2 linked regions of the Caenorhabditis elegans genome follow. The protein of the gene in region 1 interacts with the protein of each later gene in a pairwise test. Each region holds a gene or a part of one and is shown on either strand. Other genes may lie near its edges.

Region 1 (5,099 bases):
CCCTACAAATCATATTTGAACAATTTTGAATTTATTTACAGCTTTAATGTTCTGAATACCGAACCTAATTTTTTAAAGCAAATCACTACTCACTTTCATTCTTAATCCAGATTTAATAGAACCCCTACTAGTAGGTGTATCGGAAGCATCACTTCCAGGATTATGAATTGTCTTTCTTCTTTGTGACACTGGAGTAGATTCATACTCAGAATCGCTCCCATGATCAAACGAGAATGCTCCTTGAGAATTAGATTTTAGTGCTAAATTATCTGCAAGTCTTGCAAAGTCCGCTTCACTATCAACTGCTGACGTGGAAAGTGAAGAGTCCGGACTACTCCTTCCACTGCTCAATGAGCTGTCAATTGACACGACACTCTCGCTTTGTGGGAGTTCTAATGTCATTGGCTCTTTGTAAATGTAATTTACTTCGGCGAGTGGTTTGGTGACTTCTCCTCCGGCATCTGAACAAAATGGGTTGTGCAACAAAATAAAGTATATAACCTTAAATTACCTGTAACTTGGTTTTCATCAAATACCAAATCATCAATGCTATTGGAGTTTTCCGTAGAAGTTGCACTATCATCTTCATAGTCATCATTATCAATTTCAGCGTTGTACACACGAATGGCAGAGTCTAATGTGGAATTGTTGGGGTACACCTGAAGCAAATACTTGTACTATAATTGGGTCTACAAGAAACCGGACTTACCATAAAATGAACAGGCATGAGTGATTCGCTGAACCACTTCGGTTTATCGCCAACTTGCTCGGCACTCTCAATTCCCGCTTGCACTCTAACAAACGTCTCATTTTTGGGACAAAGACAACATTCTGCAAAATATTCCACTGCTTGAGTTCGACACAGGTCAGTGATCAATTGTGTGCATTGCGGACGACTTCGAAGAAATGAGTCCGTTTGCAACGACACCACTGGCCTGGGGTAAAGCCGGAGGGTTCTGGTATGTTCACTGAAGTTTCCGAAAACATTGGCCGAGTTGAAGAATTGAACCTGGACAATGATGCTTTATTCAGATAGGTTTGAAAAATATCATATACCATTGCAACTCGACATGCTACATCGACACTGTCAATGTCGATTCCAAAATCTGCATCTGTCACGCTGGTCTCATTGTCCACAGTCATAGTAGTCATTTTGTTAATGGCATTTTTCAGACGTTCCTGAAAATGCTAGTTTTTGAGATTAACCACCAACATACGAAACTATCAATATGCTACAAAATATATTCGAAAAAGGACGTCGTTTTTTTTTAAATAATCAGCTCACTTTCAAATGTGTGGCGTCTGGTTCAGGAAGATCGGGGATGTATAAATCATCTGGAACCTGTAGACAATTTGTGTCCAAGTCAACGAGAATGACATCTGACGGGAGCTCTCTAATTTTGCGATGATGGAAAAACGATGAAGGGACACCAATCAAAAACGGAGTCGGAGCAAGAAGAAGCTGCTCGGCGGATGGCATGTAAGCTGGCAGGAGAGGTATGACAGGAAACATGTATTCCAGTGGGTATAAAAGTGCTACTATGGAGAGTATGCACATGCTTACAGCGTTGTAGTTTCGGGATTGAATAACAATCTGAATAATGTTAACCTTTGTGAAAAAAAAAGTTTTTAGTTCAAAAATTACCTTAAACTCCAGCATTGCTGCGGTCAAAACACGAAGAGCCATGTCGATACCGAGGATTTCAAACGGAATGTGCAATGGGAAGTCGATTAGTGTGAATCTGGTATGATCCGGAAGGGCAAACTCAAAAACTTGTGACAGATCCATAGGCATCACCTGAAAAAAATGTTCTGTAGAACAGTTACTAGGCATCTAATAATTTAATACATAGAACCTGTAGACATAAGTAGTAAAATGTGGCTAGGTTTTGCGAAATTGGATTTCAAGGTCTAATATATTTTTTGGAATTTAAAATGTATTGGAAGAATCTATATAATTCTAGATCAATTTAAAACATTTTCTTGCCTCAATTTGAACTTTGGTTTTTCCTGGAACAGGCACTGGGGAGCTTAACAACATTAAGATCCATGTCTCAATCTCCTTAATTTCCTTCATCACCTCCGGTACAATTGGCTCATTATAATGACCTGTAAGTATTGCCCAAACGACGTCTCTGTAAATATAGAATTCATGACGATCGCCTCCTTCACAAAAATACTCACTTGAGCCCAGTCCGCTGTGCGGCTCTGTGATTGCTGCTGTCAATGATGCGCTTGAGAAGAAGAAGTACTTGATGAAAAATTGAAACGAAGGGATGGTGTGAAATAAAGCAGAGACTCGTCAATGAGACGTGGGAGTCGCGTCTGAATTGCAAATTTTTTAGTATTATAGAAATATTACCACAGAGAATTAAAGAAGACAAAAAGATAACATACTTTTTGTGGTGAGCATCATCTGGAACCTTCTTGATTTCATCTTTAGGAGTTGAGCGTCTGTCGAAAGATTGGTAAAAATTAAGGCAGATTCCATATCGAACTTTTGCAGAGTCCTTTTCCGTCAGCATGAACACAAAAAATTGTGGATCATTCCGTGCATTTTTGCGTAGACGTGCACCTGGAACATATGTATTCTAAATATTTGTAAGGTTGTGATAAAAAGTTCACCTCTGGGTTGAAAAAAACAAATATTTCAAAATATAGAAAAACAACATTCCTCAATCTCAAAAAAAGTGAACCATGACATGGTAATTTTTTTGAATATTTTTTAGGGGAACAATTCTCCATGAAGACCAAATTAAATTATGAAGTGTAATATTAATTTTTTTTTTGAAATGGCATTTCAAACAAAACGACTCACTCGTAGTAGTACATCCTTCCGGTTGGCAAAACACAGTGACATCAGTTGGCAATATAAAATCTTTATGATCATCGGTTGGGTACCGTCTTAGAATTTCAGGATATGTGACTGTGGTGTCTGTAGTGGCATCCGGGCTGCTTTGACTGGCTCCTCTAGTACGGTTTCGCTTTCCTACGACAACCAGAAAGTCAATCAGACGAGGGCATATCTCTTTTTCTTTGTCATTCATTTTTTATTAGGATAGGTACATTGGTGCAAGCCTGGACAAATTTTGAAAAAGTTAGAAAAAAAATCCAAGATACAAAATGAAGAAAAAAAAGTATGCTCTAAAAAAGTTTTTTTTTTTAATTTAAAAAAATAGAAACAATAAGAGGTAGTTATTTTAATTTTTCAAATATTTGTTGTGTAACTGTTTACATGATAGATTACAAACGAAATTTTAAGTAAGGTTTAATATAAAATTTCATAATAGTAAAATATTACTTTTTTTTAAATTTCAGAAACTAGACAGATAATTTCTAGAAATTTTGAGTGTATAAACTATATATTTCAGAATAAACTATAAAGGTTTTTTTTGCAATTTTCACAAAACGGAACAGAAGAAATTAATTTTGTGAAAAATTGTTAGAGAATACATTACATTTTTTCTTAATACAATAATCTCAAAATTTGTTTAAAATTATTTAAATAAAATTCACAACATATAACCACATCACATACTTTTTCCAAGTTATATTATACAAAATTTCAATATACTTAACAGTTGAGTTATTTATAATTGCTAGTCTATGCTTTGTTTTTAAATTTTACATATTATTAGTCTCATCTAAAACCTTAAATTATAAAAAAACGAGTGACGTCAAAAATTGCGATTTGTTAAAAAAAGATGACGTTGGGTTCGAAAGAATAATTGATGGCCGGAACGTGTGTCAAACGCACTTTTCCATTGGGGAAGAATGTAAAAAAGGAGCATTTCGCAAGAAAATCAGAACATATTTTCTGACTTTAAATTTGGACTTCATTTGACTGGAATTTGAGTTTATATAAAAATGAAACTATAAGATTAAGCAACAAATCACAATAATAAAAAAGCTAAAATATTGGATGTCGTGGGAAGAAAGAGAGGAAAAAGGGAGGAAAAAAGAGGAAGAACAGAATGAAGCAGTGGAGGTGCAAGAGCCCCCCCCCCCCCCCCCCCCATGTGATGGAGAAGTGTGTAGACCAAAAAGGGGCATAGGAGGCCGATGAGAGAAGAGACGTGTGTATGTGTGTGCATGTGTATTCCTTCTCATTCTCTTTTCCCTTTTCTGTTTCGCCCCCTCGCTGCTATTTTTGAGAGGAGTGAAACGAATGGATGGCAAGAGAGGGAGGACGAAGCAAAGAAGTGAAGACTGAGTTCCAAATCAATAGAGGGAGAGAAAAACAGAGAGATATACACGACAAAACATATAAGTTTGTTATTATGGGATACCAAATTCCCAATTTGTCCAACTTATAAATGTGGGAACACTTTTTGTATCGTTTTTCACATGGAGAATTGAAGCGGCAGTTTTTGTGGAAGCTTTGTATTTGAAAAAAAAATTCAGGTTTCAAAATTTTAAATAATGTGTTTTACATACTCAAGTACCTATAAAGCAAACGTTTATATACTGACATGATCGACATCAAAATTAAAAAAAAAAATGAAAGAACTACTCACAAATATGCAATTGAAGTTTTTTTTATTTTAAAGGTAGAGCAGCGCCAGTGGGGAAACTGTTAAAAACTACTCCAATGGTGCCAAAATGACCAAATATCATTTGAAACTCTCCAAAAAATTTTTGAAATTTTTTTATTTATTGTCAAAAAGTGACAAAAAGTGACAAAAACAAATTTATTTTTTACTTGTTTTATACTTTAATTTTGTTTTTATTATTTGTATTAAAACATTGTAGGGGTCGGAGCATTTGAAATTTCTTTGGATTTCCTCAAAAGCTCATACTTTTTATAATTTTGGTAATTTGTGAAAAATTTTGACCGGAAATTATGACAAATCTAAATTTTTTTGGTATTTTTATTATGATACTTGGTCATTTTGGAACATTATAAGTGTACTTAGACAAAATTATAAGCTATTTATTCACAGTTTATTTATTCTTTTTTTTTCAAATGCTCCATCAGTCAAATTGAAATTATTTGAAGTGTCAATTGACCATTATAGAATGTTGGAATGTTATTCATTGTAAACATTTAGGGGAACAAGTGATACACAAGTACCAAATATAATAACTACCGTAATTTC
Region 2 (7,826 bases), about 11 Mb from region 1:
ATTCTGTGAATATTGGCTAATGTCCTTGATAAGTACTTGCATGCTCATTTCTTTTGGAGCCATGATCATATTGAGCCAGTTAGTCTAACGACAAAAGCTCGCACATCGCTAATGAGCTCTTTTTTCATATTTTTCTGAAATATCTCTGTATATTCACAAGTCACGTGTGTGTGCGTCTTACCAAGCGCACAATTAACATTATATCTAGATATTTTGCTCATCTCCGCCAAAGCGTGTTATTAATGCTCGACGCCTCTTCATAAAACATTTTTTAGTTTCAGATACACTTTTAGTTTCCAATGACAACGTGAAGATCTCAAGTTTTTCGGCTCAAGAGTTTCACCATTGACGTCAATGACATCTTTTTTGAACCGGATCGGTTTTTTTTAAGAACCATAAGTGCTATGGATAATGAAATAAAATCCAAATAAAATAAGAAGAACGTTTGCTCAAAAACAGACTCATCATCTGACACTCTTTTCTTGTTTTGAGTCTGTTAGAACACTAGGGGTTCCGAGTCTAACCAAAAAATGTAGATGGGGGGAGAAGCAGTGATGAGAATCAATGAGCATGTCTGAAACAGACATCAGACCACTTTTCAATGAATTATGGTTTAGTGGAATGAGTATTCCTTGTTCCTGTTATACTCTGAAATCCTTATGGTTACTAAAATAAATGTAATTTTTCATCAGAGGCAATTCTCCGAGCAGGTGGAATAGAAAACATTTTAATGTTAAAATGAGGTGAAAGGCTATTTGATTTCTAAAAGTGTTTTGTGACATTCATTATGAACCTGTGTTGAGGAAATATGAATAAACTTGAAATTATAGATTGGATCTTGAAAAGTACAATGTTTTGATTTAGCTTCTTTTTTGTTCCTTTTAGTTAGGAGCAAAAATAGAAATAAGGAAGTCTCTAAAGCAAAAACAAACTAAAGTTTTGATTACCAAAAAAAAATTTGAACTTTATAGGAAGTGCAGCTCTGATAGATCTATTTTGTTGTTTTTTGGGTTTTTATAATGATACATTATTGGTTTTAGAAACCTTCAACTTCAAAAAAAGGGGGTTTTTTTCACTGAAAGAACCAATCATATTGTCTCAGCAACTATTAACTTTTCCAAAAATGTTTAGCTAAGTTTCGGGCACTATTGCTTCCTCTTCGTTTTTTGCCTTTTTCATCCTACATCATGTATTCTTAGAATGCCCTGAAACAGCAACAAAATGAGCCACCGTGAAGCAGCTGAAATGAAATGAAAGTCAAACAAACCCTTAACTTGAAAATCTTGAAGAGGCACCCGTTTCCTTTCTCCACTTGTTGTAAGAGGGCTCCGGAAACAAAGAGGAAGATGATGAGGACGGCTTTCTTTCTCTCTATCTATCTCTTTTTCTTTCCTTTTTTGTCCGTCACAAGACCCGTTTTGTCCCTTTCCTCTTTCTCTGTATGTCATGCATATATGTTAGTGAAGCTGGAGGGGGGCCCTTCTTTTTTTCGGGGTCCATGCTCCAATGCTCAGATATTGCCTTCAGGCGTTTTTCTCCTTTCCTCCCTCTTTTATCCTCCTTTTTCAAAGCCTCTTTCTAGAAACTGAAAAATAGTGTGCGAGTGAGTGTAGCCGTTAGGCAACGGCGACACGACGGCGACTGAATGAAATGAAGGAGTGCGCGAGCAGCCCGCCTTGTCTCCTACGCGCACGTCATCCTCCAACCAACGAGAGAGTTCTTGCAGATGCGGTATACATTCTCAGACGAAAAGAAAGCGACGACGACGACGACGTCGCGAGCCAAGTCGCAGGCCCGCCTCTTAAACTCGGCGAGCTACCGCCGAGCAGCTAGAACCACTCTTCGGCACTCATACGGGATGGGCATGTGGCGAGCCGTTGCGCTGCTCGCTTGCCTTTCTGCCACACATGCCGCACTCTTCACAGGTAAGTCTGATTTATATTAAGAGGGTAATTAGAGGGGAGTTTTTTGTTTATGATTATATGGTTTCAAAATGTTTTTTGTTGTTGTTAAAAGTTATAATTGCAAGCCAAGAGTAACCATTAACCTAGCATTTTCAGAAAAATTGTTTACTGAGTTAATACTTTTTTTTGTAATGTTAAGTTGTTGTTGAACTTCCTAGGGTATGAAAAACTAAAACCATTTCTCAATTTGATTCAATTAATTTTTTCGATTTCTCAGTTTGAAATTGTTTTAAATTTGTTTCATAAATTGAAACTAAAATGAAACACAATTAATAATTAGCTCTCTGCGTAGTATTTTTGAAAAAAATGTGTCAGTTTTTTTTTGAAAATCAGTCGCTAGATTTTAAAAAATTTTAAAAAACTATTCAAGTTGTTATTGCAACTTTGTTTCAATTTATAAACTTTAACAAGGTACCGAATGTGATTGATTATTTTGTTTTTAATTTTTAGTTGATTAATAAGCATTTACACCCACTCGTTACCATTATAAGCGGTTTCCGTCATAATCAAGCCTGCAAAAGCTGTCATTTTCCATCTTCTATTTAAAGTCCAACTTCATGTTCTGTAACTTTTTTCTTTGGAAATTGAAAAATAGAAAAAAAATAAGCAAAGAAAAGAAACCTCAAAAATTCAGAAAATGACAGGTGCAATTTAGTGACATTTTCTCTGCTCATTTCATTTTTCAATTCACCTACAACTCACTCACCTGCCTATTTTTTTTTCAATCTCGCCCACACTTTTTCTCCAATATGGCGGGAGCACTTACTCCTTGTGTAAAAGGGCACGTGATTTGTACCAAAGAAGTGCAACACTTTCATTTGAGAGCATCACCGCACCACATCTCATTAAGGCAGGCTCAGTGACAGAGTGAGCTCTCACATGACTCATTGAGCACGGCTCTTGGATAGATACAAAAAAGAAGCGGAAGTGGGAAGAAAAAAGGAAGTCCCTCATGTACATTTTTGATTCTACAATTTCATTTTTCTTCTGATTAGTTTGTCGTGTTTTGTGGATTTTTGGACAAATGGTCTTGAGGCATTTATATTTAAGAAATTACAAAAAATAATCAATCAAAACAGATTAAAAAACAAGCGAAAATACTGGAGGATCTTCAGTTTACAATATGAGTCAGCAAGAAATCCAATTCCACTTGCTTTCTTTCGCACATTCAATGAATAGAATTCTTCATGGAAAGAATACAATTTTTCAATGGCCAAAAACCCACTCCTTTTCTTGGAAAATCAAAAAAGAATTATTGCGAAAAAAAGAAGAAAATCTCAAATCAGCTTCTTTAACGAAGCGTGAATCGCACTTTTCTTCTATTCTTCATGTTGACTCAAAAAAAATTCTGCCAGATTATCAGAATTTGGAATGTTTGAACTTGGGCAGGCACTATTTTAAAAATAGATTATTTGAAAATGTGAAAAAGCACGAACATGTAGTGTCCTTGGAATCAGTCAACCAATGTTAAGTACTAAAAAAAAGGGATACTATTTTGAGATTAAATGAGAAAATAAGTCAACCAACAGTGATTGGAATTGTACTTCTGGGAGATGTCATATTTAGAAATGTTTTCAATACCGTATAGTAGTGAAGCACCTTTTCAAACACTTTCCATTAAAAAATCTTCAATTGATACCTTAGGCCTCTATGCAGTTAAAATGCAAAAAGCATACGAGATACGTTTTTTTCTAACTTGATTGGATTTTATTAGAAAAAAGAAACAAATCCCATAATCTTTTTACATTTTAGCGAAATCTTAAAAAGTGATATCACAATGACTTTCTAGTTTTTAGTATCAGAAACAAATTGCATAATGATCATGCATAAATCAAACAGTTAGAATTTTCAGAAGGAGGAGCGGTCCAAAATGGAAAAGATAACAAAGCCAACAAATATGTTGAATTTGCGCATGATGACAAGATAAATAAGGAGGACTTGTTGGTTAGTTCAGAACGTTTTCAGAAAACTTTGCAATATATTCCCATTTTCTCAACATTTCAGAAGTACTATGGAAAGGAAGTGGAACAATACAAAGATGATGACAGCTACATGGAGTACCTCATTGAGTACATGAAAAGTCATCCAGTTCCGGCCCAGTTTCCCAATTTTGAGCAAGAAGCAGAACAAGAACATCAGGATGAGCTCAACCAGTGGCTGGAGCAACTCATGAATGAGCAGGAGCTTCTAGAACCAGCCAATGCCGCTGTCAAGGATGCTGAACAGAAGGCACCTTTGGCTCCAGTGCATCACAAGCAAGTTGCTCAGAAACCTGCCCAGGAGCCATTTGACTTGGATGATTTGTTGAGAGGTAAGGAAGGGGTAATTTCTTTTTTTGAAAACCGATTTAGTTTTGCGTTGTTTTGTTTTGTTTTTCATTTCATTTTCGGTGTTGTTTGGCGGTTCCACTCACTTTCCCATTTCAGCCATATTTTTCTTTTTCTATTTTGTCTGTGTGCTTCTGCCTTTTGAAATGAAATGGGGAGAGGGGTGGCGCAAATAGGGAGTGAGTAAGTGTGTCATGTGCATGTGTTCATTTATAATGATTAGAAAGTGGGCGAAAACCCTAAACCGACAACAACAAAAACTGTGACGATGAATGGAGTTCTGCTAACCCCCCAACTTTGTTTTGGAGATGGAAATACTGAGAAATTTTTTGTGTTATTAAAAAAATTGTGAAGTAGAAATATATTTTGTCATGATTTTATAAGAAATATGATTTAACTTATAGGAGCACTCCAATAGTTCAACTGGAGAAATATTTTCTTGCACTCGGTTGTGAAAGTCCTGGTTATTTTTCTGTTTAACCATTTTTCACAAGATAGGTTAAGGAATGTGAAATTGGTAGTTGAATATTTTGAAGGAATTATGCCAACTTCAGCATTACCATAGTAATTTTAAAACTTAGACTCAAAAGTTTCCAGTTTAAAACTGAAATATTATTCCATGTTTTGTTAACTTTTTTGTTAAGAATACCAACAAATATCTCATTGATTTGTCTTCAATTTCAAAGAAATCGTGTTTCATTCCTTAGTATTTAAATTCGTTCAAATCCATCTTATCATTTTTGAGCACACGAAAAAATCCCATCGACATCATCAAAAATGCCACCAAAGTTCGAGTTCAAAAGATTTTGAATAGCAAAGCAGGCATGTGGTGCTCCGTTTTCGTGCCCCGATGACGTGAATAAGCTTAAAATGTTGATGTTGTCCTCCGTAATGTGCCCCGTCTTCTTTTTTTTCCTGCCAGGAAGTCATATTTCCTGGAGTGCGCTACACATTGCCGATTGCCCCGGGGCTAGGGCAATACGGGAAAATCTTGGAGAACAGACATACGTGAATACTAGGAAAATGTTCTTTTTATTTTTTAGATTGAGCAAACAGAAGCAATAAATGGAAGAATTTAGTGCAAGCTGGAAAAAAACGGAAATAAAAGGAAAAAAAACAAGAAAAAAGAGCCACCGCGTGACTATCCACTTCATCTATCTATCTCCTAAATAGCTTATAATTGAGTTCATTTGGATTCTTTGAAAGCTTCAGAAACACACATGCGCTATGCAAACACAAAAATACATAAAAGAGTGACGTTAAGAGGGTGGATGGGATGTGAAATTGGATGTCTATCAACTAAAACCATTGTTTCAGGAGAGCTGATGCTCGAGAATGAAATCGCCAAGGAATCAGAGCTCAAGAAGACCCAGGAGAAGCTGTCCGAGCAGACACCTTCCGCCAAGGCGAACGTCGAGTCGCTCGAAAGTGCGATGCAGACTGCCACTGGTGAGCCACAGGTACCCCAGAAAAAAGGACAAAACGAGTTCGTCTCGTTTGTGGAACAAGAGCCCCAACCAGCCAAGCAGACCATCTCTTCTCAAACCGTTGACAAACGCCGTCTTGCTACCTCAGCTGAGTATTCAGGAAGTGCACCGAGATACAGTAGCAGCAGCCTTCTGCTTTTAGGTTTGTATTAGGGTGTCAAGGAAGCAACTATTTTCTAAATTTCAGCAGTCGGAACTGTTATGTGTGTTGGACTTATTGGTACCGTCGCCGGAGGAACCTATTACTACAAGTAATACTTTTGAATTAATTTTTAAATTAATGGAATGCGTGTTTTAGGAACAACAGACGTACCGAGACCCCAGATGATGGAGAGTACGCTCCATACGCCGGAACTGGACCAGGATTCCGTAAGAACAAGGTAATAATCTCAACTCCACGTTCGCCAACGTTGTTTTTTCATAACAGAAATATTTAGGCTAATATTTTAAATTTGTCAAAAATATAACAGCCAAATATAAAAACTTATTTTTCAGAAAAAAACCCAAAAATTGTATTATCAGTTTTTGCTGAAATTTTTTTTGTGCTGTTAAAAACTCAGAGAAGTGTGAATATTAGGTCACGTTTGTCTTTTTTGGTTGGTTTTTTGTTTGCGATTTGCAATTAAATTTGCTTCAATTTTTTTGTCATCCAAATTTCATTATTCTTCCCGTTTCCTAGAAATAGATTTGAGCTCTCGGCATCGACTTTTGGTCACACACACAGCTCATGTGCATATTCACATAAAAAACGAGTATATTTCCCCCCATACATCATATGCATAGGTCGCTTTGAGCTAATCCATTAACAGAATTACATTGAAAAAAAGAGAGAGGAAATCGAGAAAAATGATGTGAAATGTGAGAGCTTGTGCGTTAGAGAAAAAGAGTCAGTGTCGCGTGATTAATATTCTGAAAATCAGAGTCCGGAAAAGAGCAATCTGATTCAAATAAATCCCATATCTCGCTTTCCGATTTGGCTCGATTACAGACGAATATGATATGAGATGAAAACTAGACACGTGATACAAACATGATTTCAGGGAAACAAGGGAGATGAGACTTTGGCCTACAAAGCCCAACTCCACCAGTACCAGCAGGCAAAACAGAAGATCATCTGCGGAGAAGATGCGCCAGGAATCATCGAGTCCGACGGAGAAGACGGTGCGGACGAAGAGAACAACTACAGTGTCTACGAGTGCCCGGGTCTTGCTCCAACTGGTGACATCGAAGTTTGCAACCCGAACTTTGCTGCTCAGCCCTAAATTCGACGTGGTGCTCGATGAACATATCGGCAACCTCTCCTTTGTATTTAGCCTCTTTCGAGAAATCGAATAATTATCAACTACCTTGTATTCTCAACAAAAAAGTTAAATGATAATAACAATTGAAACAACAACGTTTTTCTATTTCAAAAATAACATGATCAGTCTTTTCGACAACAACCATCATTTTCATCATCTTTTTCATTCATTTTTTCAAAGCCACAACAAAAAAAATACTTAAAAACCCCCTTCAGCCTTAACACCTGAAGGGTTGGAAAACCAAGACAACTTTCTTAAATTCCTGTTTGTAAAAACTAAGCGTACTGCTTAGTTCTCTTTTCTGTCTTAAAATTGCTTCCCCTTTCCGTTGTTGAATCGTTCCCCCCTATAACCAACAATTTCGTAGTTTGTGCATAACACCGGTGAAAAGAGAGAGTACCATCTAACACATTTCCACATTTTTCTAATCGTTTATTGTAAACTTTTTCTTCTCCGAATCAGAATTCCTAATTTCATTTTTGTGAGATAAAAAAAAGAGATCCGTTTGTCAACCACCCCATTCATCATCATTTACCATCGATGAGTTCGTTCGCACACCTCGACCCACCGAGTCCACTATAAATTTATCCGAGTGAAATTTTGGATAATAAATCATTCATGTTGATCAGGTTTTTAATCAAGTATGAGTTATTACTGTTTTTTTTAGAGAATGCCATGACGCTCAAACAATATCTTGGAAAAATTAAATTAAGATGTGGATGTATTGAAATTAAATAAAAAATTTTC

What was found.
Region 2: the proteins of aex-3 (region 1) and cab-1 interact in a two-hybrid assay, tested with the Caenorhabditis elegans proteins (one study listed by BioGRID).

The regions. Positions count from the first base shown.
Region 1 is NC_003284.9:756,655-761,753, forward strand, and holds the start of aex-3 (MAP kinase-activating death domain protein), read right to left. Parts: upstream 3,079-5,099; 5' UTR 3,048-3,078; coding exon 2,819-3,047; intron 2,576-2,818; coding exon 2,398-2,575; intron 2,326-2,397; coding exon 2,185-2,325; intron 2,136-2,184; coding exon 1,988-2,135; intron 1,799-1,987; coding exon 1,646-1,798; intron 1,595-1,645; coding exon 1,286-1,594; intron 1,180-1,285; coding exon 1,057-1,179; intron 1,010-1,056; coding exon 710-1,009; intron 660-709; coding exon 512-659; intron 462-511; coding exon 94-461; intron 3-93; coding exon 1-2. UniProt on the Caenorhabditis elegans protein: Guanyl-nucleotide exchange factor that regulates small GTPases. Converts GDP-bound inactive form of rab-3 and cab-1 to the GTP-bound active forms. Regulator of presynaptic activity that interacts with rab-3 to regulate synaptic vesicle release.
Region 2 is NC_003284.9:12,199,533-12,207,358, reverse strand, and holds cab-1 (Protein cab-1), read left to right. Parts: upstream 1-1,726; coding exon 1,727-1,925; intron 1,926-3,816; coding exon 3,817-3,908; intron 3,909-3,968; coding exon 3,969-4,275; intron 4,276-5,167; exon of another isoform or gene 5,168-5,314; intron 5,315-5,608; coding exon 5,609-5,920; intron 5,921-5,965; coding exon 5,966-6,029; intron 6,030-6,076; coding exon 6,077-6,158; intron 6,159-6,818; coding exon 6,819-7,040; 3' UTR 7,041-7,703; downstream 7,704-7,826.